Macaca mulatta: one gene and its partners. The protein of the gene in region 4 binds, or shares a complex with, the protein of the main gene of each other region. Links are inferred from orthologs where the notes say so. Each region holds a gene or a part of one and is shown on either strand. Other genes may lie near its edges.

Evidence for each region.
Region 1: CUL3 (region 4) and KLHL25 share a complex: the UniProt entries of both Homo sapiens proteins name them as parts of the BCR(KLHL25) E3 ubiquitin ligase complex. The link is inferred for Macaca mulatta from reciprocal best matches to the Homo sapiens genes CUL3 and KLHL25.
Region 2: CUL3 (region 4) and KBTBD2 share a complex: the UniProt entries of both Homo sapiens proteins name them as parts of the BCR(KBTBD2) E3 ubiquitin ligase complex. The link is inferred for Macaca mulatta from reciprocal best matches to the Homo sapiens genes CUL3 and KBTBD2.
Region 3: CUL3 (region 4) and RBX1 share a complex: the UniProt entries of both Homo sapiens proteins name them as parts of the BCR(ARMC5) E3 ubiquitin ligase complex. The link is inferred for Macaca mulatta from reciprocal best matches to the Homo sapiens genes CUL3 and RBX1.
Region 5: the proteins of CUL3 (region 4) and KLHL22 are in contact, whole or in part, in a cryo-EM structure (PDB 8K8T), measured with the Homo sapiens proteins. The link is inferred for Macaca mulatta from reciprocal best matches to the Homo sapiens genes CUL3 and KLHL22. Residues at the interface, in NP_003581.1 of Homo sapiens: Thr14, Arg17, Ile18, Arg19, Ala20, Phe21, Pro22, Met23, Met25, Asn49, Ser50, Gly51, Leu52, Ser53, Phe54, Glu55, Tyr58, Tyr62, Leu66, Met118, Asp121, Ile122, Met124, Tyr125, Arg128, Val129, Gln133; in NP_116164.2 of Homo sapiens: Asp73, Tyr74, Arg76, Gly77, Met78, Gly81, Gly82, Leu83, Lys84, Glu85, Leu92, Ile93, His94, Leu117, Gln121, Val125, Cys128, Gln129, Gln131, Pro133, Trp146, Glu150, Asn151, Asp154, Val155, Arg157, Leu161, Phe162, Asp163, Ser165.
Region 6: CUL3 (region 4) and KLHL21 share a complex: the UniProt entries of both Homo sapiens proteins name them as parts of the BCR(KLHL21) E3 ubiquitin ligase complex. The link is inferred for Macaca mulatta from reciprocal best matches to the Homo sapiens genes CUL3 and KLHL21.
Region 7: CUL3 (region 4) and KLHL12 share a complex: the UniProt entries of both Homo sapiens proteins name them as parts of the BCR(KLHL12) E3 ubiquitin ligase complex. The link is inferred for Macaca mulatta from reciprocal best matches to the Homo sapiens genes CUL3 and KLHL12.

The regions. Positions count from the first base shown.
Region 1 is NC_133412.1:75,565,259-75,568,758, forward strand, and holds part of KLHL25 (kelch-like protein 25), read right to left. Parts: exon of another isoform or gene 3,268-3,500; intron 3,051-3,267; exon of another isoform or gene 2,899-3,050; intron 2,735-2,898; exon of another isoform or gene 2,476-2,734; intron 1,692-2,475; 5' UTR 1,681-1,691; coding exon 1-1,680. UniProt on the Homo sapiens protein: Substrate-specific adapter of a BCR (BTB-CUL3-RBX1) E3 ubiquitin ligase complex involved in various processes, such as translation homeostasis and lipid synthesis.
Region 2 is NC_133408.1:95,474,691-95,478,190, forward strand, and holds part of KBTBD2 (kelch repeat and BTB domain-containing protein 2), read left to right. Parts: intron 1-872; coding exon 873-2,408; 3' UTR 2,409-3,500. UniProt on the Homo sapiens protein: Substrate-specific adapter of a BCR (BTB-CUL3-RBX1) E3 ubiquitin ligase complex that acts as a regulator of the insulin signaling pathway, modulating insulin sensitivity by limiting PIK3R1/p85alpha abundance in adipocytes.
Region 3 is NC_133415.1:10,578,625-10,582,679, reverse strand, and holds the start of RBX1 (E3 ubiquitin-protein ligase RBX1), read left to right. Parts: upstream 1-1,255; 5' UTR 1,256-1,276; coding exon 1,277-1,354; intron 1,355-3,791; coding exon 3,792-3,870; intron 3,871-4,055. UniProt on the Homo sapiens protein: E3 ubiquitin ligase component of multiple cullin-RING-based E3 ubiquitin-protein ligase (CRLs) complexes which mediate the ubiquitination and subsequent proteasomal degradation of target proteins, including proteins involved in cell cycle progression, signal transduction, transcription and transcription-coupled nucleotide excision repair.
Region 4 is NC_133417.1:129,759,212-129,762,711, reverse strand, and holds part of CUL3 (cullin-3), read left to right. Parts: intron 1-995; coding exon 996-1,224; intron 1,225-3,500. UniProt on the Homo sapiens protein: Core component of multiple cullin-RING-based BCR (BTB-CUL3-RBX1) E3 ubiquitin-protein ligase complexes which mediate the ubiquitination and subsequent proteasomal degradation of target proteins.
Region 5 is NC_133415.1:32,193,835-32,197,334, forward strand, and holds part of KLHL22 (kelch-like protein 22), read left to right. Parts: intron 1-2,182; coding exon 2,183-2,901; intron 2,902-3,500. UniProt on the Homo sapiens protein: Substrate-specific adapter of a BCR (BTB-CUL3-RBX1) E3 ubiquitin ligase complex required for chromosome alignment and localization of PLK1 at kinetochores.
Region 6 is NC_133406.1:234,192,476-234,196,083, forward strand, and holds the end of KLHL21 (kelch-like protein 21), read left to right. Parts: intron 1-49; coding exon 50-343; 3' UTR 344-3,108; downstream 3,109-3,608. UniProt on the Homo sapiens protein: Substrate-specific adapter of a BCR (BTB-CUL3-RBX1) E3 ubiquitin-protein ligase complex required for efficient chromosome alignment and cytokinesis.
Region 7 is NC_133406.1:60,583,888-60,587,387, reverse strand, and holds part of KLHL12 (kelch-like protein 12), read left to right. Parts: intron 1-274; coding exon 275-428; intron 429-2,099; coding exon 2,100-2,317; intron 2,318-2,658; exon of another isoform or gene 2,659-3,032; intron 3,033-3,157; exon of another isoform or gene 3,158-3,316; intron 3,317-3,500. UniProt on the Homo sapiens protein: Substrate-specific adapter of a BCR (BTB-CUL3-RBX1) E3 ubiquitin ligase complex that acts as a negative regulator of Wnt signaling pathway and ER-Golgi transport.

The DNA of each region.
Region 1 (3,500 bases), on a different chromosome or scaffold from region 4:
GGGGTCATAGCAGTCCAGAGTCTTACACCTCTGGGTCCCAAAGTAGCCCCCAACCACATACAGCTTGTTGCCGGACGCCAGGGCATGGCAGGACATGCGCTTGGCGGTCATGTCCCCAATCCGTGTCCACTGGTTGGTCTCACAGTCAAAGCGGTAGGCCGAGGCGGCCGTGAATTCCGTGTCACCTCCCATGATGAAGATCTGGCTGCCCAGGACGGCAGCGGCTGTGTACCGCCACGGCTGGGGGCACTCAGCTTTGATCGTCCACCTGTTCTCCGCGGGGTCATAGCACTGGACCTTGGACACCATGTCCCGGTGGATGCTGGTTCCTCCAAACACAAAGAGCTTCAGCTTGGCACTCACTACTGCGGCATTGCTGACGCCATCCCTCAAGGGGGCCACCATCATCCACTTGTTGGCCCCAGGGTCGTATTTCTCCACTTGTTTCAGGGAGACAGAAGGGGAGGCTGGGAAGACGCCTGCCAGAGAAGTGTGTCCCCCCACCACATAGAGGCAGTTCTCCAGCTCCGCTGAGCCATGGCCAAAGCGGGCAATCAGCATGGGCGCCGCCTTGGACCATTCCTCATGTACGGTGTCATACACCCAGACGTCCTTGGAGACCCCGTTCTCGGAGCCCCTGCCCCCTGTCACATAGACCTTGCAGCCGATCGCTGAGGCGCTGAACTCCTTCCGGGGGCTGGGCAGGTCGGCCTTGGGGATGATCTCCTTGGCCTTGTGGTCCACCTGGTAGATCTTGTCACACATGAAGGTCTGACCCCCCAGGATGAGCAGCGTGTGGCCTGCTTTGCGTGGCCGGGCACAGGGGCTGGTGACCACGCCGTCATTCTGCAGGATCCTGGTCTTGCAGCGCAGGGCCTCGTCTATGATAAGCTTGGTGCGCTCGTCCGCCATGAGAAGTGCCTCGCTGGAGACGGCCTCCTGCAGGCAGTCAGACGGCAGCAAGGCCAGGCGCACGCTGCGGAGGAGCTCGGGCAGGTGGGCCTTCCGCGGCTCCAGGTCGTGCTTCACCCACTGGAGGATGGCCTCGAAGACCACCCGCTCGTCCTCGGTCTCCAGCTCATCACTCGAGATGAGGTCCAGCAGCGTGTCCTTGGACAGGCTGTTGAAGTCCTCGCTCTGCCGCACCGTCTCAAAGTGCACCAGGCACATGCGCCAGGAGAACTCGTACAGCCGGCGGCACTGGTGGGCGTCCGAGAGCAGCATCATGCCCAGGCAGTTGGAGGGGAAAAGGTTCTTCTCCAGGAACTCGGCGGCGGCGTCCCGCACGTCGTGGAACTGCAGCATGTCGCCCGCCTCCAGCAGCGACTCAGCGTTCTCCTCGTTAATGGCGATGCGTGAGGAGTAGGCAAAGTCCAGCAGCAGCTCCAGCACCTCCGGGTGCAGGTTGTCCTGGAAGTTGACAGTGTCGTCCCGGCTCTCCCGCAGGCCGTGGCTGAACATGGCCTCAAAGTAGCGGCTAGAGGCGGCCAGCACGGCACGGTGACAGGGGAAGGCACGATCGCCCGCCCAGAGCGTGACGTCAGTGAACATGCAGTGCTTGCGAAGCGTGTTGAGGTGGGCCAGCACGCAGTCCGGGTGGGAGGCCTTGTGGAAGAGGGTGACGTTCATGGACCCCGTGCTGCTCCGCGACTTGCGGGTCTCATGGACGCTGACCGACATGGTGCACCAGCCTGTGGGGGAACAAGCCCACAGGTCAGCGGAGCCCCTCCTGTCCATCTGCCCTCTCAGGACTCTCTCTTCAGCATGAGCCCCCTTGCCCCCTCCCACCCACTCCCTGCTCACCTCTGCTAAACCAAGTCCCTCTCCCGCAACCACGTTGCCAAGGACAACATAGGCAAGAGTGGCTGGGTCTGACCCTGCCCTGCAGAAACTGGTTTTGTTCTCAGGGTATGGGCCAGCTCTGGGACAAACATCTTTGGCCTGCAGATGAGCCACCCCCTAGGTGAGCTAGAGTTGAGGCTGCCTCCCATGGTTGAGAGAACACGCAAACGGTGTTCCTGACTCAGGCAGGTGTCCGGGCAGTGCTAAGTAACTGGTGCCTTTGACCACATTCCACCCTCATGACAGTCCTCTGCAGAAGCTTCTCCTGTGAGTCCCATTTTAAAGCTAGGGAAGCCACAGCTCAGAGAGGCAAAGAAACTACCCAAACCGCCACAGCCAGGATTCTCATACGGGCTGTCCGGCTCTGGAGCCTGATCTCTGTTCAAGGTGACTGATCCCTGCAGGGTTTGCTGTGGACACCCAAGTAGAGCCTCATGTACCCGCTTCCCTGCTCCCAGCAGGCTCTGCCCTGGGCTGGTACTGGCTAGACATCCCCCTAGCCTTGGAACAAGAGCTGCCATCAAGGCCCAAGTGCTCAGTGGAGACGTGTTCTCTGAATCCAGGTGTCCCCACAGGGCTCTTCACTTAGCTGGGGCAAGTGATGGCCTGGAGGTGGGGCCACAAGTGACTCACCCTCAAGACCAAGGCAGAGGCCCAAGATGACAGCAGGACATGCTGAACACTAACTGAAGTGATCCAGATTTGCCTCAGCCAAAGCAGAGAAACATGCAGCCAGAGCTTCCCGGGTCCCCGATTGACTCCAGGACCCTGAGTCAATGCGACGCCTCCCCTGCCTCCCTTGTCTGCCCTTCTCCCCCAGGCCTGGGGACCGGGTGCTCAGAGTGATGGAGCAATGGTCTGTGCCAACAAACAGGTTCGCTGCCTGCTCAATCTCGGGGAATTCCAAAGCACTGTCATTAACGTCCAGTGAACAGCATGACCCAAGGCCCCAGTTCAGTACTGAGAACTCAAGGGTCAGACAAAACTCATGCCTACAGAAATTATGGCCAACACCTTTGATGCCATCTCTAAGACCACAGCTACCTGCCCCCTGACCTGTGGAAGGAGACTGTATTCAACAAGTCTCCCGATCAGGAATTCTCTGACCACCTTGTCAAGACCCTCACCAGAGTCTCCGTGCTGCGGACCCAGGCTCCAGCTGTGGAGACAACAGGGTTTTTACACAAGAAAAATAAAGTGAATTAAGCCTGGAAAAAAAGAAAAAGAAAAGAAAAGAAAACATGGCCAAAACGCAAACTGCATTCCAGCATTTTGACCCCCTAAAAAAGCCTGTGCTGCCGTCTTCCTGCTGGTAATGGGGCCAAGAAAAACAAAAAACCCTAAACAACAAAGTTTTTCATTTTTCATTTTCAAAAGTATGTAACTCCCCTGCCGCCTCCCACTCCAAGTCAATTTTCTACTTACCTGGTAAAGGTAGGAAACGACTTCATGCTTCAATGAAATTGCAAATGAGTGTCCGACTACATGGCTCTCTCTTGCTCACTCCTCCTCTGGCAAAGAGGCAGAGAAGCCACAAACTGACAAGATTAGAGCTAGGCAAGGTCCCTGCTTTTGGGCTTAGGCAGAGAGGGCACAGCAGCCGTACTGGCCTTGCTGCTTGGGCCCCCAAGCTCCAGGCAGACTGCAGACTGAGGACC
Region 2 (3,500 bases), on a different chromosome or scaffold from region 4:
CATATATTCTCATCTGATCCTTGCAGTGTTCATTTGAGGTAGATAACCGTTATTTCCCCATTTTATATAAGAGAAAATTGAACTTTAGAGATTTGAAACTTCTTTCCTAATAAGTAGTTTAATTGGCTAATTTAAGTTTTAAATCCAAGCAACCTTTTAAGCTTTAAATCCAAGCAACCTGACTTCTCAGTGTAAACAGTTTCTAGTTAATCACTATGATGCTGCATAAATATAGTAGGTAGCACACCTGATTCAACTGAGATCTACCTTCTTAAGAAAAAACAAATCTAGGAAGCTTACAGTGTCTAAGATGGGTCATTTAAATATAGGTAATTTATAACTGCACATAAGTCTATTTCATGTTGCTTTGATAACTTACCTCTCTAGATAAGAATGGCAAATAACTACTACTCATTGTGCATGATTTGCTGGTTTTATGTGACTGTCTCGTCCAAGTTGAGGAAACCAGAATCCAGTTACTCAACAACAATTTTCTGTATACTATGATTTGTTTACATTTTTTCGTATAGTTCTCTCAATTATATATGAAGTCTAGGAAAGTATGACTTATGTATGAATTTCCTTGCCTATTCTTTAAGGCTGTTTTGTTTTTTAAGAACCTGTTTATTGTTGTACTACTGGTTCCTAAATAGAACAGTTAAGTAGGCCACTGAGCAGGAAAAATTACTGCAAAATTATATAGTCTTCTGATTTTATTACTACCAGAAGACCTTATCTCTTAGCCCAGATGTGTGTATCTGAAAATAAAAATTACACTGTGGGCGTCTGATTAATATACTTAATGTCTTACATAAAAGTAAAATGTGTCTGTCCTGGCCCTATCAGCCTGTTTTTTTTCCTTCTCCTTCTAGGTAGAAGATGTGTTACAACGTTGTCGAGAATATTTAATTAAAAAAATAAATGCAGAGAATTGTGTACGATTGTTGAGTTTTGCTGATCTCTTCAGTTGTGAGGAATTAAAACAGAGTGCTAAAAGAATGGTGGAGCACAAGTTCACTGCTGTGTATCATCAGGACGCGTTCATGCAGCTGTCACATGACCTACTGATAGACATTCTCAGTAGTGACAATTTAAATGTAGAAAAGGAAGAAACCGTTCGAGAAGCTGCTATGCTGTGGCTAGAGTATAACACAGAATCACGATCCCAGTATTTGTCTTCTGTTCTTAGCCAAATCAGAATTGATGCACTTTCAGAAGTAACACAGAGAGCTTGGTTTCAAGGTCTGCCACCCAATGATAAGTCAGTGGTGGTTCAAGGTCTGTATAAGTCCATGCCCAAGTTTTTCAAACCAAGACTTGGGATGACTAAAGAGGAAATGATGATTTTCATTGAAGCATCTTCAGAAAATCCTTGTAGTCTTTACTCTTCTGTCTGTTACAGCCCCCAAGCAGAAAAAGTTTACAAGCTATGTAGCCCGCCAGCTGATTTGCATAAAGTTGGGACTGTTGTAACACCTGATAATGATATCTACATAGCAGGGGGTCAAGTTCCTCTGAAAAACACAAAAACAAATCACAGTAAAACAAGCAAACTTCAGACTGCCTTCAGAACTGTGAATTGCTTTTATTGGTTTGATGCACAGCAAAATACCTGGTTTCCAAAGACCCCAATGCTTTTTGTCCGCATAAAGCCATCTTTGGTTTGCTGTGAAGGCTATATCTATGCAATTGGAGGAGATAGCGTAGGTGGAGAACTTAATCGGAGGACCGTAGAAAGATACGACACTGAGAAAGATGAGTGGACGATGGTAAGCCCTTTACCTTGTGCTTGGCAATGGAGTGCAGCAGTCGTGGTTCATGACTGCATTTACGTGATGACACTGAACCTCATGTACTGTTATTTTCCAAGGTCTGACTCATGGGTAGAAATGGCCATGAGACAGACTAGTAGGTCCTTTGCTTCAGCTGCAGCTTTTGGTGATAAAATTTTCTATATTGGAGGGTTGCATATTGCTACCAATTCCGGCATAAGACTCCCCTCTGGCACCGTAGATGGGTCTTCAGTAACTGTGGAAATTTATGACGTGAATAAAAATGAGTGGAAAATGGCAGCCAACATCCCTGCTAAGAGGTACTCTGACCCCTGTGTTAGAGCTGTTGTGATCTCAAATTCTCTATGTGTGTTTATGCGAGAAACTCATTTAAATGAGCGAGCTAAATACGTCACCTACCAATATGACCTGGAACTTGACCGGTGGTCTCTGCGGCAGCATATATCTGAACGTGTACTGTGGGACTTGGGGAGAGATTTTCGATGCACTGTGGGGAAACTTTATCCATCCTGCCTTGAAGAGTCTCCATGGAAACCACCAACTTACCTTTTTTCAACGGATGGGACAGAAGAGTTTGAACTGGATGGAGAAATGGTCGCACTACCACCTGTATAGTTGGGAAGTTCAGGGAGTGCACGCCTGAGTTATGTGCTTTGTCATTTTCTTTGCTAAACAAAAGAGGCTATGAAAGAACTAAATATGACTACATAAAAATCTATCTTTGATAAATTTTATTTTTATGCCCTACTTAATATTTGCATCAGTATAATATATATCAGTGAGTCTTACAGAAAGATATGCTTCCATAATATGAAATAGATTATTCAATAATTGAGAAACTTTATGTGTAATCATGAGAGTATAAGAATCTGGATTATCTAACATTGTTAGCCCTGTGTATGTACAGTTCAAAAAGTTCATTTATAAAAGTAGTTTCCTGTTCTTAGTGTGGTATATCACAAATTGTGCTGAGGTTATTTTAGTATGTGTATTTCATTCCCGTGCTTCTGTTCTGAAGTCCTGGAATACAGTTTTCAGTGTAATTAATTCAACTGCACTTAACACTAATGTCCATGTTGGTATAGAAACGTCTAAATCCTATACTCTAGTTGAGGAAGATCTTCCATAATTTTATGGTATTACACAGGGAAAGCTATGACTGCAGGATCAGTCTAACTATACTATTAGGTGCATGTATTCTCTTTTCACTAACTTATACTTGTCTATCTAGAATACAGGTCTTCCGGTCAGCTGGTCATTTACCAGGTGTGGACTTACGTTGCTGGGCTTGCAGTAAGAATTGCCAGCCCCTCATTGTGCGGGTCTGCGTGGAGCTTTAATCAGTAAAAGCCTCCACTTTCTGTATTATGTTAACATTGGCTCATGCATATAACTACCTGCTGCTGATGTAGTTCTCCATCTTCAAGATTTAGAGTGGGTTAACCAGGTCATTACATCTTAATTTAATAACAAGCATTACTGTAGAGTGATTGTGTATAGATCTGTTAGCTGTCAGGGTGTGTTTTTTTTAACCTGTTGTGTGCGTGTGGGGGTTAGGATTAGTAAGGTGAACTGTTCAGGAATTCTCTGCACTAGCTGTGCAGAAGAGCAGATAACTAGCGCTGCTCTGGCATTAATCCCAGGAACCACTAGCAGTAGTGGGGCGCCGCCAATCTAACATGAGCACAGGTGCTTCATGACAAACAT
Region 3 (4,055 bases), on a different chromosome or scaffold from region 4:
GGGAGGATCGCTTGAGCCGAGGAGTTCGAGACCAGCCTGGGAAACAGAGTGAGACCTTGTCTCTATTTAAAACAAAAAAAAATCGGCTCTAGCCTGTAATTCCAGCACTTTGGGAGGCCGAGGCAGGCGGATCACCTGAGGTCAGGAGTTCGAGACCGGCCTGGCCAACATGGTAAAAACCCGTTTCTACTAAAAATACAAAAGAGCCGGGCGTGGTGGCGGACACCTGTAATCCCAGCTACTAGGGAGGCTGAGGCAGGAGAATCGCTTGGACCCGGGAGGTGGAGGTTGCAGTGAGCCGAAATCGCGCCAGTGCACTCCAGCCTGGGCAACAAGAGCGAAACTCCGTCTCAAAAAAACACCCCAAAAAGAATGCTTCACAAAAATTAAAGAAATACAGCGACTGCAGATGGGTCGGTTTCACTATAGCACAAGTAGCGGAAAGAGGACACAGACTGGGGAGAAATCACCCTACACAAGATGACAACTGAGGAATGAGAAGTGGGGACTGACACACGCCACGGTGAAACCGCGCACCACGACCAAAGGCGGTCCTAGGACTGCGACTAAGCGGGCGCAGAGGCCACCCTCCAGGCTTGGCGGGGGGATGAGGGCAGCACTGGGGGCCTGCTCAGTCTGGCCTTAGGGAGGACCTTCGGGGCTCTCCTCTCTCCCCATCGATCCCTGAGCAGTTCCCGAACAGAAATCGGAGACCAGACGGTGCCTGGGCCCCAGCCCTCCCACGCGGACTGCGCCTTGGGCCTGGCTCGGAGGTGGGTCAGAGTCTGCGAAAGACCAGCGAGGGCTCTCAGGTTTCGGGGCAGGCGGCGGGCGCCCACCCCGGCTAGCAATGGGAGTCGCGCGGCGACCGGGCGAGCCCGGTAGGCAGGACAGGACTGCGGCGCAGGTCCGACTCAGGCGGAGGAAGCAGCCGCCGCCCCAGCTGATGGAGTGCGGCCGGGGGCTTCCCAGAGGAGGCGGCGACCTCGAGCCCTTTCGAACGTTTCTACCAGGCTAGCTCACGTAGCCTCGGCCCCGCCCGGCCCCGCCCCGCCCCACCCACTCCGGCCACCGCCCCCTCCCCGGCCGACACTTCGCGGGTGGGGCGACTTGCGATAGCCCCTTTAAGAGGCGTGGTCACGTGCTCCGCCCCCACCTCCCCCACGCGCGCCAGTAAGGGGTGGGGTGCGGGAGGAGGTGCCGGGGAGGCTGGGGGAACGAGGTGTGCGCTGCTGCGCAGGCGCGGTGGTCGGACGACAGACCGTGTGTTTCCAAAATGGCGGCAGCGATGGATGTGGATACCCCGAGCGGCACCAACAGCGGCGCGGGCAAGAAGCGCTTTGAAGTGAAAAAGGTTGGGTCTCGCCAGCGCCTTCCTCAGGGAAGCTAGAGAGGCGCGGATCTGGCTGGCAGGCCCGAGGATGGTCGAGGCGCGGAGTAAAGGGTTTCATTTTAGGGCGTTCCTGGGACCGGGTACCACGAAAGGAAGTCGGGGGGCGGGCCTTAGAGTTGATCGGCGTGACGGCGGCCCACTGTCAGGGGAAGTGTTGGTTTCGATGTGAGGCTGAGGGGCCAATCACAGAGCTGCTTGTTGAGATACGCGGGGTTGCGACTTGGCGGCGGGAGCCAAGCGCCTGAGCTGTCACTGGAGTGGTTGAGAGGTGGGGGAAGGTAGGGTGGGGTGAGGTAGGGTGGGGTGGGGTGGGGTGGGGTGGGTGGAATGGGGAGTCAGAGCGACTGCGGCGGTGGAGGATGGGGCAGTGCGGCGAAAGCCTGGAACCTGAGGTCCTACCGCATTGGAGGCCTCTGAGGAGCCCCGCTAGTGATCTTGCTCCGCCCCTTTTTGAAGCTTGCTTGGGGTCCTCTCACTTGAAGGGATCAGACTTGTTCCTCGCTGAACCGAGGCCTCCATTAACCCCATCTCTGGGCCTCACACCGCCGAGTTAGAGTCTGGAGTGTAATGCTTGGGTGTTCTGAGACGTCTGTTGGCTTTTCCCACAACCACCCCACTCTTGGATTCTCTGTCACGTTCAGAATCTCCCCCTTCCGAAATAATAATAAAAAGCACGGTGGAACTTGTTAAGAAAATCCGAGCCCAAATCCTGTGGCATTTCGGAAGGGTTGAGTACTAGTTGCGAATGACTTGGTAAGAGGGGAAAGCAAAAATGGAACGTGTCTTTTGCATGAAATGCATTTTAGTGGTTTGCCACAGTTTGGGAGAAAAGTGTCGATTCCCACCTAACATGAAAACTATTCGAAATGGAGATTCTGAAATAGGGAAGATATTCCTGGAACATCTGGCTAAACACTGACAATATCCCCCCCCTCCTAGTGCTTTTTGGTGTCTCATTGTGGCCACTGCTGCTCAGTTACAGCCAGCCATATTGAAGAATAATAGAAGTAGGGGCTTTTCCTCCAAGTTGAAGCTGTGATGTGAAAAGTGGTGAAGAAGTTACTAGGCACTGAGACTGGGGTTTGAAAGCGATGAAGGTTTGGGAGTACTTGTAATTGAGGAAACCAGAGTTGAATGAATGAAATGCCACTTTTAATTAAACTCTTACTGGAATTATTATCTTTTTTTTTTTTTTTTTTTTTTTTTTGAGACGGAGTCTAGCTCTGTTTCCCAGGCTGGAGTGCAGTGGCCGGATCTCAGCTCACTGCAAGCCCCACCTCCCGGGTTCACGCCATTCTCCTGCCTCAGCCTCCCGAGTAGCTGGGAGTACAGGCGCCCGCCACCTCGCCCGGCTAATTTTTTTTGTATTTTAGTAGAGACGGGGTTTCACCGTGTTAGCCAGGATGGTCTCGATCTCCTGAACTCGTGATCCGCCCGTCTCGGCCTCCCAAAGTGCTGGGATTACAGGCTTGAGCCACCGCGCCCGGCCTGGAATTATTATCTTAATAGAAGAGTCTAAACATATAAAAGTTCAGAACATCAGTTTATTTTATGGTAAGAATCGAACAAAATTCTAGTGAATTGTAGAATTTGTTATGAAGTAATCTAAGATTTAAGTGATGACCTTGTTCTGTGTACTGACATGGGCAGTTAATTATCCAGCTTATCCCACGATTACCTGTTTTATGATCCAGTCATCATCTTAGTTCATTCTGTTCCCTAGCTTTCACTTCATTGCTCATGCTTCCAAAGCTGCCTGGAAGAGCAGATACTTATTCAGATTTTGAGCGCTTCTGCAACTGCCACCAAAACCTGCACAGAAATTCAAGTTTGTGCTTTTTTTTTTTTTTTTTTTTTTAGATGGAGTCTCACTCCATCGCCCAGGCTGGAGTGCAGTGGCACGATCTCGGCTCACTGCAACCTCTGTCCCCCAGATTCAAGCGATTCTCCTGCCTTAGCTTCCCAAATAGCTGGCATTATAGACACCCGCCACCAAGCCTGGCTAATTTTTGTATTTTTAGTAAAGACGGGGTTTCGCCATATTGGCCAGGCTGGTCTCGAACTCCTGACTTCAGGTGATCCACCCGCCTCAGCCTTCCAAAATGCTAGGATTATGGGCGTGAGCCACTGCGTCCGGCCAGACTAAATTGTTTTAAACTACAGGAAACAAAAGATGACATTCATTTATGTCTTCATATACTCAGTCTTTTGGAGAATAGGAGAACGTATGTGTTGTCTACTGTTGTCTTTGGTATAATAAGATTAACATAATATCCAAAACCTTTTGTTTGGTGGTTCCTTGTGGCCAGAGATCATAACTACAACTGCAGCCTGAAGTCCTAAAAACTGTGTGTGTGTTATAAGGAGAATGCATTGTTCCCTCTTTTTGTCTTTGCAGTGGAATGCAGTAGCCCTCTGGGCCTGGGATATTGTGGTTGATAACTGTGCCATCTGCAGGAACCACATTATGGATCTTTGTAAGTAATTGGAGGAGGATGGGAGGAAGTTGAGAAGGTTGCAGAGCTTGTGGCTATCTTGATGTGACCGATTTTCTTCTTCACAAGCAGATATCAAGCCTACTCTGAGCACTCGGTCTTCTGTATCTAGTCTTTTGGTGTGTTTGAAATAGAGTAGTTTTTTTATGATGTCCTGGAGGCATACC
Region 4 (3,500 bases):
ATGATGATAATAATAACTGAGTACCAGTAAGCATAAGATAGTATTTGTAAGGTAACTGTAACCAGGCATTTTTCCTGAATACCATAACTATCTGAGCATAACATAACGTAGCATAACATAACATTCCATAACAGTAGGAATTTTGTAGTGTTGCCAAAACAGATGTATTAGTAAGAAGCTAAAATGTTGGCCGGGCGCGGTGGCTCACGCCTGTAACCCCAGCACTTTGGGAGGCCGAGGCGGGCAGATCACAATGTCAGGAGATCAAGACCATCCTGGCTAACACGGTGAAACCCCATCTCTACTAAAAATACAAAAAATTAGCGGGGCGTGGTGGCAGGCACCTGTAGTCCCAGCTACTCGGGAGGCTAAGGCCGAAGAATGCCGAGGCGGAGCTTGCAGTGAGCTGAGATCGCGCCACTGCACTCAAGCCTGGGTGGCAGAGCAAGACTCCTCCACCTCAAAATAAATAAATAAATAAATAAAAAGATTATTAGTTATTTAAAAACTCTTTTTCTCAAACGTTAGTGTATATGTTTACTCCGTTGAGACTGGGAGTGGGATGGCAGGAAGACTTTAGTAACCAGCAGTATGCCAGCAAAGCGTATGATAAACATGATGAATCTTTCTGGTTATAATTTTGCATTCAGACAAATCTAAAAAGAACATCCCACTCTATCTTGGAGTCAGATGCTTCTATATTTTTGACCCTCGCTGGCATATATATTTACTTTTTTGGCTATTTTTTGGAGTGCATTGGCACAGTTTGAAAAACATTGTTTACAGGAAATGTTTTAATTTAGTATTATGTAAACACCAAAGGCTTTAAAGGATATAATTCAGACTATATCAATCTTTGTAATGAGAGATTACACAAAATCCTATTAGTACTTATTTTACTTAGGTTGATTTATTATAAACACTATAGAAACCCCAGCTAAGAGCAAAAACACCTTTTTCTTCTATATTAAAAAAATTACATTTTTAAATTGCAGATGGAAAGCCAGAAATTTTTAGCAGAAAATAGTGCTTCAGTATATATAAAGAAAGTAGAAGCTAGAATTAATGAAGAGATAGAACGAGTGATGCACTGCCTTGACAAATCAACGGAAGAACCAATTGTGAAGGTAGTTGAGAGGGAACTCATTTCCAAGCACATGAAGACTATAGTAGAAATGGAGAATTCTGGGCTAGTACATATGTTGAAAAATGGAAAGACAGAAGGTAAGTGTTACCGATTGAAAAATAATTAAATCCTTATTCTGCCTTATCGATATTTTTAAAACTTTCCTACATTTAAAGCAGGTATCAGTTTTCAAGAAGTTGTGTATATTGTTAATTTGTCTCCGCTGTTAACCTGGGTGGGATTTCCAAGCTTGATACTGTCTTACCAATGAAGATTTTAGATATTTCTAATGAATTGAGCATTTCCTGTCTTTAAGTCTCATTTTATGTTTTTCTTAATCCAGAAGATAAAAAGTGTAACAGTAGGTGAGCCCAATGAGCTCCTCATTCATTCCTGTACTTGTCGTATACCAAAGGATGTGGGCTGTCTTTATTCCTACATACTCTTGGGGTTTTGTGATTCTCTTAAAATCTTAAATTTCCACCTTAGATTTTTGTAGACTTTCCTTTGGGATTTAGTTGTGATAGGGTGCCAAAAATGCAAAAATATTTATGTCTTCCATATTGATACACTTAGATAAATTAGATTGGTTTGGGGAACACTGAAGTTACAGAATGGAAAAGGAGGAAGGAGGAGTGCATAAAAGTAGAAAACACTATTGAGATAACTAACATTTATTTTTTGTAGCTATTTATCTTTATTTCCCTGGGGTAAAAAAAAAATTGTGACAAGTATCCTAGAAGAAATTACAAGTTAAAAGAACAATAACCATATCTTCTATTCTTAGTTTCTGATGCTTTGATTTAAAACTTTGCCTTTATCAGTGATATGGTATTAGAAAATAAAAAAACATGGTCCCTTGTTCTCCTGCTTCGTAGATGAAATCTGAGCGATATTTTATCCACTTCTTTTTAGTAAAAGAAATACATATTGCCTCTTGGGGTCATGAGCTATGTAGGGAATGAAAAAAAGTTTTTTAACAGAGAATTATGAAGAGCAGGAGGATACAAGAGAAGGGAAAAAGAAAGCTGGTGGGAAGTTGAGCCACGTTTCTCTCTAGTGGAATCCTTACCTTGTGTTTTAAAATTGTTAAATTTTTGTATATATGATAAATCCCTGAAAAGTGATACATAATTTAAAAAAAAAAAAAAAAACTAGAGAGACTTCCTTTTTAAAAGACTATTCTGTTAAACCTTTTTTTGTAAAAGCAAAAAAAAAAAAAAAAAAAAAAAACAAGTCATCTAGTATGTTTGCCGTGTTTGCTAAAATTAAGGTCTAAGTCTGGGGTTGGCAAGCCTTTTTTGTTCTTGTTGAATAAAATGGCTTGTGAGCCATGCAGTCATAGTGAGAAAATAGTCATAGACAATAACAAATGAATAAGCCTGTGTTTCTATAAGACTTTATTTATGGGCCCTGAAACTTAAATTTCATATAATTTTTATGCGTCACTAAATAGTATCCTTTACAGTTTTTCCTCAGCGATTAAAAATGTGAAAACCATCCTTAGTTCATGAGCTGTATGTACATAAATAGGTGGCAGGCTTATTTGCCCCACGGGTTCTAATTTGATGACCCTTCTCTAAATGGTCTCTGGTAGACTAGGACTTCATGCAAAGCATTTGCCCTGCTTAAACAAAATGAGTATCGATAAATTATGTAATGTACTGTTTAGGTATTGAGTGAATGCTTTCTTACCTACCTTAGGGGCATGTAGGGAGGGATGATTAAATGGGCTGGAGATGAGGGGCTAGGAAATGTTTGATGGAGAGGTTGTTGGGCATACCTGAATTACAGCATCTCTGTAACTTGTGTGGAGATATATGTAAAAGGTGTCAGGTGTGCCTATCATTGCAGGCACTTAACGTGAATGAAGGAATATCATAATAGTACTCACCAGAGTTCTCCTTTATTTAGTACCTTAGGTTTCCAACAACACAGTAGCTATCTGTGATTCTAAATTAAATTTTAAAATCCTGTTTTTGTCCGGGCAGTGTGGCAAACGCCTGTAATCTCAGTACTTTTGGGAGGCTGAAGTGGGTGGATCGCTTGAGCTCAGGAGTTCAAATTGGTGATACCCTGTCTCTATGAAAAACACAAAAATTAGCTGGGCGTGATGGCACATGCCTATAGTTCCAGACACTTGGGAGGCTGAGGTGAGAGGATCATTTGAATCCGGCCAGGGAGGTCAAGGCTGCAGTGAGCCAAGATCATGCCACTGCACTCCAGCCTGGGTTGCAGAGGGAGATGCTGTCTTAAGAAAAAAAGGGGGAACTGTTGTCTTTAATTTTTCTGAGCTTCCACTAGAAACCTAGTGGCAAAAGATCTTAATTGTGGTAGACCCCGCTCTTGGAAAAAAGTTGCTCTTGTTGAGAAC
Region 5 (3,500 bases), on a different chromosome or scaffold from region 4:
GTGTAAACCCGGAAGGCGGAGCTTGCAGTGAGCCGAGATCGCGCCACTGCACTCCAGCCTGGGCAACAGAGCGAGACTCCGTCTCAACAAAAATAAATAAATAAATAAAAATTTAAAAATAAATAAATAAATAAATACCAGCAGAATTATTCCATGTGTAATGGTTAATTTATTGATGATCCTGGATAAGCCAGGTATTTCCATTTTTAGAGAAACTGATTTATTGCACTGAACCCATGACTGGAGTTGGTAGCAGGGGGGTTCCCACAAGAGGGGACCCCACAGCATCCTGAAATGGAGCTGGTTTGGGATTCCGAAGAAAGAAGCATCAAACACCAGGGTGATCTGGCCAGAGCGTTTATTAGAGGGAACTTATGTATAGAGTGGTGCAGCATATCCTCAAGACAGATAAGGGAAAAGAGAGGCTTTACCCAGGCTTGCCCATGGAGTGGGTTAGGGTATGGAGTTTCAATTAGGGTTTAAGGAATTTGTCTCAGGGCCAGAACCAGTTTTTCTTTCAGTGTTTTGGGTAACAACCTTGATGCCTTTATCAGTGCCTGGGAATGTTCAAGGGCCCAGTTTGGGTTCAAGCCTGCTGGGAAAACCTGCAGTTGACTGGGTCACAGAGAGGTCAAGATACTCTGTCATTTTTCAATCTGAACTCGGAAAGAAAGGAGGTAGGCACTGGGGGGCCCCACTGAACCTCTAAAATCCTGCTTTCCTAAAGAATTTATCAACACCTGGTTTGTTCTCCCAGGCAGTTTTCCCTAGGGCCCTTACCTTTGTCTTCTATTTTCCAAGATTTGGTTGTTCACAGGGTGGCCTTTAACAGCCTGCTAGTTGTGGCCTCATTCCCATCTCCCTCCAGTGCCATTCTTTCTCGCTGTCCTTTCAAACCACTAGTGCTTCCCCACGGTTGGGAAGGGTTGATGTGGCCACCTGGGAGCCCCTTCACTTACTGGAGTCAAGTGGGTCTTGACCCAGCTGGGGACCTCAAGAACCCTGAGTCAGGGATCACTTGAGCCCAGAAGCTTGAGACTTCAGTGAGCTGTGATCTTGCCATGGCACTCCAGCCTGGGTGACAGAGCAAGACCCTGTCTCAAATTTTAAAAAGAAAAAGAATTCTAAGTCAGGTTTCTGGGTTGGTGCTGGTTAGGTGTCTGAGAGGCTCTGAGCACTCCTAGGGAACCAGGGTGGATGTTCTGGCAGGGGGAAAAGGCCGGGTTTGCTTTTGCTCCCAGCACTTTTGGAGAGGCAGGCTCTTCTAGAGAATCCTAGGGTAAGGATGGGGGTGGTCTTAGGTCCTTTCCAAACCACAGATACATGACGCAGTAACCGTTTGTGCTGCTTCCTGCTTTTCTGGAGAGCCAGTACTTTTTTTTTTTTTTAAGGTGGAGTCGCACTCTGTCACCCAGGTTGGAGTGCAATGGCGCGATCTTGGCTCACTGCAGCCTCTGCCTCCTGGGTTCAAGCGATTCTTCTGCCTCAGCCTCCTGAGTAGCTGGGATTATAGGCGTGCACCACCACGCCCAGCCAATTTTTGTATTTTTAGTAGAAACGGGGTTTCACCATGTTGGTCGGGCTGGTCTCGATCTCCTGACCTCGTGATCCACCCGCCTCGGCCTCCCAAAGTGCTGGGATTACAGGCGTAAGCCACCATGCCTGGCTGAGCCAGTACTTTTGATCTAAGAGGGAGCTGACGTATATCAAGGGTCCACTCCTATGTGCTCTCTTATTTTCATCATACTCCTCCTCACTTTAATGATCCCTGTTTTATAGATGAGGAGATTGAGTCTTAGAGAGGTTAAAAACATTCTGTATGGGAAACTGAGGCAGGAGAATCATTCGAACCTGGGAGGCAGAGGTGGTAGTGAGCCGAGATTGCGCCACTGCACTCCATTCTGGGCAACAAGAGTGAAACTTCGTCTCAAAACAAAACAAAACAAAACAACAAAACATGCTGTATATCCTGTCACCTGGTACGTTTCCAAACCAGGACTTAAACCCAGTCTGCAGTAAGCCCCAGTCTCCAGTGTGTCAGAAAAGGTCAGGGACAATTAAGGAGGACTTCCTTTCCACTTTGCCTGGCCCACAAGGGCCTGTATTTCTGCCATCATTCTGTCTCCCACCCCCAGATGCTGTTCGCTAGCCCAGGCTTCAATGGGTGTCATTCTCTCTGCAGATCCCAGAAATTATCCATTTCTGCTGTGATTTCCTCATGTCCTGGGTGGACGAAGAGAACATTCTTGATGTCTACCGGCTGGCAGAGCTGTTTGATTTGAGCCGCCTGACTGAGCAACTGGACACCTACATCCTCAAAAACTTTGTGGCCTTCTCTCGGACTGACAAGTACCGCCAGCTTCCACTGGAGAAGGTCTACTCCCTCCTCAGCAGCAATCGCCTGGAGGTCTCCTGCGAGACCGAGGTATACGAGGGAGCCCTTCTCTACCATTACAGCCTGGAGCAGGTGCAGGCTGACCAGATCTCGCTGCACGAGCCCCCAAAGCTCCTTGAGACAGTGCGGTTTCCGCTGATGGAAGCTGAGGTCCTGCAGCGGCTGCATGACAAGCTGGACCCCAGCCCATTGAGGGACACAGTGGCCAGTGCCCTCATGTACCACCGGAACGAGAGCCTACAGCCCAGCCTGCAGAGCCCGCAAACGGAGCTGCGGTCGGACTTCCAGTGCGTTGTGGGCTTCGGGGGCATTCACTCCACGCCGTCCACTGTCCTCAGCGACCAGGCCAAGTATCTAAACCCTTTACTGGGAGAGTGGAAGCACTTCACTGCCTCCTTGGCACCCCGCATGTCCAACCAGGGCATCGCGGTGCTCAACAACTTCGTATACTTGATTGGAGGGGACAACAATGTCCAAGGATTTCGAGCAGAGTCCCGATGCTGGAGGTAGGACAGGGTGCTAGCTGGTCCCTTTGTCTTCAGGTGATGTGAGGGTGTGGAAGTCATGGGCTGAGAGAGTTGCTCAGGTTCCCCCAGCCTTTCACATGAACTTCACTTGTCATTGTGGAATAAAGTCTGGGTGAATTCAGAGAAGGTGGACAGCAGTGAGATAAGGGAAGGGGACATCCGGATTGCCTTCTTTCCTGCATGTCCTCTACTCCTCAGAAACCCATTTACCCTGGACCCCTGCTCAGCCTCTTTGGGATGGGCTAGGTTGTGAGTGTATTGTGCAGGAGGAGACGGGAGGGGAGCCCACAGCAGGAAAGGCAGTCGGACTGTGATGGAGAGGACCTAGGAGCAGTGGCAGCTGGGCAGCCTCGCCCTCCGTCGTGCTCTCTCTCAGCTTTGATGCATATTGTTTCAGTTTCCCTTCGCCAGTCTGCCTTGCTCTTTCTTCTTTCTTACCTGCTCGCTAATGGTGGAACAGACTTCCTGCTTCTGTGCCTGAGCAGCATGCAGTCTTCAGCCCAGGGGAGTGGTAAAGGCCAACAAGCATCACTGAGCCTCATGCTGCATTTTCGCTGTGCCCTGCAGTCAGCCACACA
Region 6 (3,608 bases), on a different chromosome or scaffold from region 4:
GCCCTACCCCCTCCTCTGACCTCCACTCACTCATCCCTTTGACCCACAGGTGCACGTTGGGGGCAGCCTGGCCGTCCTTGGGGGAAAGCTGTACGTCTCTGGGGGATACGACAATACGTTTGAACTCTCGGACGTAGTAGAGGCCTATGACCCAGAGACTCGCGCATGGAGCGTGGTGGGGCGGCTCCCAGAACCCACCTTCTGGCATGGCAGCGTCAGCATCTTCCGCCAGTTCATGCCCCAGACCTTCTCAGGTGGGCGCGGCTTCGAGTTGGACAGTGGCAGCAATGACATGGACCCGGGCCGACCCCGGCCGCCGCGGGACCCTGACGAGCTGCACTAGCCCCGGTCTGACCCTGCATGGGCCTTGGTGCAGGTAACTGGCACCTCTGCGGGGCAGTGCCCCACTCCTTTGTGCACAAGGACAGGTTGGGCTCACAGGAGGAGCACGGGCTCTTGGGTGGCCGAGCAAGCCCAGGATGCATTACCTGGAAGGTTTCTGTGCCTTGAAAGCCTGATCTGAGGCCATCAGGAACGCCCTTCCCGCAGTTGAGGAAGAGCTACTTTCCTGCTGGCACGTTTCTGGGTCTTGGAGGTCACCCCCACCCTGCGGATCACAGCTCACCCACGCGGCGCACACCCCTCCTGCTGCTGTCATCTGCACCTACTTGCTCCCACGCTGGGAGAGGAGGACAACTTGGGAGGGACGCGTGAAGGGAGGAGGGGTCCTCCCATGAGGCTGAGGATGATGTGAACCTGGAGCAGCGGACCAGGCACCAGGCAGAGGCTAAAGTGGGGTCCCAAATTCCACATCCAGAGGTGTGGGGAGCCTGCCTCCCTAGCTCCTGGCCCCTGCCAAGGGCTTGCTTCAAAACACCTCGGAGTGCTGGTCTCCAGAGGTTGCACCCAGGACAGTGGGGCATGAGCAAGGGTGTGGGCTGGGAGGGTGAAGAGGATGTGGCCATACCAGATGCTGGACCTCTCCAGCCATAGTCCCCCGCTCCCGCCCCGACTGGCTGTTGTGTCCTCACCTCTCACCCTCTTCTTCACCGGCCTGGGACAGAAGCCCAGGGGAGGTTTCAGCGCCAGGTCATAGCTCCTTCCCAGGAGGCCCTGGGAGGCGGTCATTGACACCCAGCCAAGCAGACAGCTGTGGGTGCCCGAGCCCTTGCTGGGCCTGTGCATGAGGAGTCCCACCGCTTCCAAAGGAAGTCCTGGGTAGGAGGTGGCCTTGGTAGTTCCAAAGTTGAAAATGCTTGCAGTTTGACCTTAGAAGAAGAAGTGGGAAGAAGAGGGAGCTCTACAGGGTCAGCTTTGTTCCTGTTTTCAAGTCTAGAAAGTCCTATTGCCAAAGCTTTCTGCAGGAGCTCCCGGGCGAATGCCGCAGCTTGGCAGCCCCTGGTTTTCTCTTAGAAATGGTCAGTTTTCCCTCAAAGTACCCAAAGTAGCCTTGGCTTGAGTTTTTGTCCTTGCCTCCCTTTTCAGAGGAGAGGGCGTTTACACTGCGTCTTCCTCGTTAAAGAAGATGAAAGCAAATGTGTGTTGCCTTTTCTAGTGAACTAACTTGTAGAGATGTTCTCAGCAGGAAGACAGTCTTAGCACTGTCACTTAGCAGACTGCACTTAAGACCCTTGTGCTGGCCAGATGGCATGGCTGGTTGCCTTAATATGTCCCCTAGGAAGGGCTAAGGGACACCTGACAGGGCTGCCTGGCCTCTCCCTCGTGCTCCTGAAGAGCCCAGTCCATACACTGTGGATGTCATTGCTGTCGGGTTAGAAAGTCTTGTCCTAGAACACCCTGGCTGGTGTGGTTACGGTTCGTGGCGGCTCTTCTCCGTTGAGTCATGGTCATCTCCCAGCACCTGCTGTGTACCAGGTGCTGGTGGGAAGGCCGAGGATGGGGGCCCAGCACTGTCCAGGCCTGCTGGGACCTGGCTGGGAGTCCTGTGGGCAGCGTGGAACATGCAGCTGGGCTTCCTGTGACCAGGAGCCCTCTGGCACGGTTGCTTGCCCTGTGCCCTGGGCCTTTTCCTGCCCTCCTCCTTCCTCTGCTCCCTTGGGGCTACCCGTTGGACTCTCCTGGTCTGTGGAAACTTCCTCAGGGAGCTTCCCTGCCCTGTAGCACTCACTTAACTTCCTAGGGGGCTGCTGAGCCCATCCAGAGGTTGTTGGAGCTCAGTGGGGCAGCTTGTCTCCCTTGGCAGCAGGGGCATAAGGGCTGGGTTTGGCCATACAAGGTTGGCTATGCCCTCAATCCCTGACTGTCCCAGGCACTGAGCTCGGCACCCAAGGAAGGACATGCTGTCCAGACTGTGTCATGACTGCCAGCACAGGGCATCTCGGGCTGGGCTGGGCTGTGAGGCCTTGCCTCTGTGGAAGAGAACTCTGGGTTCCTGTTTTCTCACTCACTCTTTGCGGCTTTGCTGTGGTTGGCAGCTGCCGTACTCCAGGCCTGTGGTGGCCACTCAGACAGGGGCTGTGGTGCGAGCCAGTGCAGGAGAGCTGGGTTTGGGATTGTGCCCTCTCCTGTGTCTGTCCTCCAGACCTGCCCAGGTCTCCACCATCAGGACCCCGTCTTTGGGTTTGGAAGACCAAGTATGGGGAAGAGCAGACACCAGCCTCTGCAGCAATGGGTCCCTCTAGCCTGTGGACACCAGCTGGGTGTCCAAGGTCACCTTGGACCTTGGTCAAGGTGGATCCAAGGTCAGGCCCTCTCTCCCCAGCTCCCCTCTGCTGTGGGTTCTGGGCTGTGATGTCCCCACCACTTAAGGATGTCTTCACACTGACTTCAGGACAGATGCTGGGAAGCCTGGGCATGGCCACGTGTTACGTGTACAGAATTTTGTCTACAGCACAAATTAAGTTATGTAAACACAGTGACTGGTATTTAATGCTGATCTACTATAAGGTATTCTATATTTATACGACTTCAGAGACGCGTATGTAATAAAGGACGCCCTCCCTCCAGTGTCCACATCCAGTTCACCCCAGAGGATTGGGCAAGTTGACATATTTATTTTTGTCTATTCTGTAGGCTTCCATGTCCAGAATCCTGCTTAAGGTTTTGGGGTACCTTCAGTACTTTTTGCAATAAAGTATTTCCTATCCATTTGGGGTCACTGCCTTTGTCCTCCTGCCACTGTCTTCTGGGACTCCTTTGGGCTGAGGCCAGATGTCGGGGGAATAGGCAGCATGGAGTCCAGGGCTCACACTGAGGGTCTTAAAAAGCCTTCCAGGCCCTTTCTCATCTCAGACTGTAGCAAGAAATGAAGCAGTGGAAAAGACATGCCCGAGAGGCAGGGTGTGGTGGCTCACACCTGAGATCCCAGTGTTGGGAGGCTGAGGAGGGAGGATCACTTGAGCCCAGGGGTTCAAGACCACCCGGGGCAATACAGGAAGACCTTGTCTCCATTTAAAGAGAGGAGAGGCTTGAGAAGTAAATGCTGTGGCGTGGATGATGCCCGGCAAACCTGCCTGCTCCAAAGCTGGTCTCTGCCCGTTTGTCCTCGACCCGGGCCCAGCTCCCACAGCCCTTCCTGAGGTTGCGGTACATACAGGTAGTGGTGAGACTCCCATCTGCAATGGGATGGCCTTTGGACCTGGGGAGGT
Region 7 (3,500 bases), on a different chromosome or scaffold from region 4:
GCCACCATGCCCGACTAAGTTTTGTATTTCTAGTGGAGATGGGGTTTCACCATGTTGGCCAGGCTGAACTTGAATTCCTGACCTCAGGTGATCTGCCTGCCTTGGCCTCTCAAAGTGCTGGGATAACAGGCGTGAGCCACCATGCCTGGCCTATAATTTTTAAAGATATATGTTCAATTAATGTTACTAACATCTCTAAGCTCTTAGGTATGAGATTCTGCCTTTATCTTGTAGAATTATAACCATCATTCTTTTTTACCTTTCAAATTTTCAGCTTTCAGAGAAGGGGAAACCTTATGTTGACATCCAAGGTTTGACTGCCTCTACCATGGAAATTTTATTGGACTTTGTGTACACAGAAACAGTACATGTGACAGTGGAGAATGTACAAGAACTGCTTCCTGCAGCCTGTCTGCTTCAGTTGAAAGGTACAGACATTAAAACTTGGTATTATTTATGTTGAAATAGCCCTGGAAAGGTTGAAAATTAATAGTGTAAACTTAATCATGAACATTTTGGAGACAAACTATGGATGCTTATGTTTACTAGCCATGGCTTTTGTCTCATTGAGCAATAAGAGATCAGATGTCAATAGCACTATAAAGGAACTTCTCCAGATATGAGTATTTGGCACTATAAAAGAGCATTTGCACCTTTTCTGTTTTAAAAAAAAAAATGTAGGAAGGAGAAATTATGTGTTTTCTTACATACATGTATATAACACACCTATAAGGAACTATAATAAAAACTGATACTATACATAATCTACATGGATACTCTTTATCTGGCCATTAAGTGGTAGTATTTCATTAAGATAAATGAAATTTAAATTGATGCACAAAATATTAAAGTATGTTTTCACAGGATTACAGGTGGTTTGTTTTCCCTTACAGTTCCCAGGTTTTTTAGACTTCTTATTTTGTTTTTGAGACAAGAGTCTCACTCTGTCACCTAGATTAGAGCACAGTGGTACAATCACAGCTCACTGTATCCTTGAATTCTTGGGCTCAAGCAATTCTCCCACCTCAGCATCCTGAGTAACTGGGACCACAGGCACATGCCACCACACCCAGCTAATTTAAAAAAAAATTTTTTTGGCCGGGTGCGGTGGCTCAAACCTGTAATCCCAGCACTTTGGGAGGCCGAGACGGGCGAATCACGAGGTCAGGAGATCGAGACCATCCTGGTTAACACGGTGAAACCCCATCTCTACTAAAAAACACAAAAAACTAGCCGGGCGAGGTGGCGGGCGCCTGTAGTCCCAGCTACTCGGGAGGCTGAGGCAGGAGAATGGCGTAAACCCGGGAGGTGGAGCTTGCAGTGAGCTGAGATCCGGCCACTGCACTCCAGCCTGGGTGACAGAGCGAGACTCCGTCTCAAAAAAAAAAAAAAATTTTTTTTTGTGGAGACGGGTTCTCTCTGTGTTGCTCAGGCTGGTCTCAAGTTCGTGGACTCTAGTGATCCTCCCACCTTGCTTCCCAGAGTGCTGGGATTATAGGCATGAGCCACCATTCCTGGTCCTCAGTTTTTTCTTTTTAAAATTCAGTTATGTTTTTGGTTTTTATATATACATAATTGATACATTTTTAGTTTTTAATACATGGTTTAAACAGTGTGAAGCTTTTGCATTAGTGCATAGTCATAAAATTAAAATACCCTGAACTTTTCAATTAGATGAATATGAGATTTGTTATTATCTTCTGCTTTTCTTTCACTCTAGTCTTTTAGTAAGTTTTCATGTAGAGTAGAAAAATGGGTACATTATGCTGAATTAGTAATTAGTTTTATAGTTTGATTCCCAAGAGTTTTGTAGGCATTTTTGTTGAATTTTGCCAGGTCCCTGGATGTGATTCATCTTGCAATATTCACTTTAAAGATTAAACAGAGACAGGTGTAAAGGTCTTGCTGAAAGTGGCGCAGTACATAAGCCAGAAATAGGGTTTTAAGTTCCTTAAGCAAAGAATTTCTCATCTGTTTCTTAGGTGTTGAAACAAGGGTTCATCTGATAACATGTAGAGAAGATGTTGAGATACAAGAATACAGACTAGATCACACCCGTCCAACTGTTCTAAAGTGTTTGCTTCCTGTGTCCGTCCTAGGTGTGAAACAAGCCTGCTGTGAGTTCTTAGAAAGTCAGTTGGACCCTTCTAATTGCCTGGGCATTAGGGATTTTGCAGAAACCCACAATTGTGTTGACCTGATGCAAGCAGCTGAGGTTTTTAGCCAGAAACATTTTCCTGAAGTGGTACAGCATGAAGAGTTCATTCTTCTGAGTCAAGGAGAGGTGGAAAAACTAATCAAGTGCGATGAAATTCAGGTACAGATTTGTCTTGATGTTATGGTTTCTTCAAGATTGGGCAGTTACAAAACTTGCAAAGTAGGATGCAGTTACTTACCATTAGGGCTTCATAATCAAGTGTGTATTTTGGCTCAAAGATTTCATTAACCCCTCCTGTACCAAATTTATTTGCATTTTTATGGAGTGGGAGTTTGCCACTTTCTTCAATTAGATATATGATCCGAGTGGGTAAGAATCACTATTAAACAGAGTATAGAATAAGCAGAAATTGGAAGTAAAGTAGATATCTGTAGACCACTTCTCTGTTACCCATTCACTCATTTCACAAACATTTACTGAGAATATCTACTATGTAGCAATTACTATGCCAGGTGCTACAGATCCCCAAATGGGTAAATATAGTTCTTGCTTTCAAAAAATTCACAACCTGCTAGTAGAGACAGAGATATAGACTATATATATGTATATAAAAAATAAAGAGGATAATAAGAATAATGAGCCTATACAAAGTAAGGACATTACGTAGAAGAGAGAAGAATAAACCTTTGCTCAGGAGTGGATCAAAAATGAAGAGACAAAAGTTTGGAAGTGAGGATCTACAGAAGCAGGAGCCAAATCATAACTGTCTTGTGAGGGCGCAGGGGATGGAAGGAAGGGACACGCAAACTGGATGTTAAAGGAATAGTAGGCCAGGCACAGTGACCTGTACCTGTAATCCCAGCACTTTGGGAGGCTGAGGCAGGAGAACTTCTTGAGGCAAGGAGTTTGATACTAGCCTGGGCAACATGACAAAACCTTGTCTCTACAAAAAAATAAAATTAGCCTGGCATGGTGGTGAGCACCTGTGGTCCCAGCTACTTGGGAGGCTGAAGTGGGAGGATCTCTTGAGCCCAGGAGGTTGAGGCTGCAGTGAGCCATGATCACACTGCTGCACTCTAGCCTAGGCAACAGAGGGAGACCCTGTCTCTTGCAGGCGAAGAAAAAGGAATAATACTTCACCTAGGCCGGGCGCGGTGGCTCAAGCCTGTAATCCCAGCACTTTGGGAGGCCGAGGCGGGCGGATCACGAGGTCAGGAGATCCAGACCATCCTGGCTAACACGGTGAAACCCCGTCTCTACTAAAAATACAAAAAACTAGCCGGACGCGGTGGCGGGCGCCTGTAGTCCCAGCTACTCGGGAGACTGAGGCAGGAGAATGGCG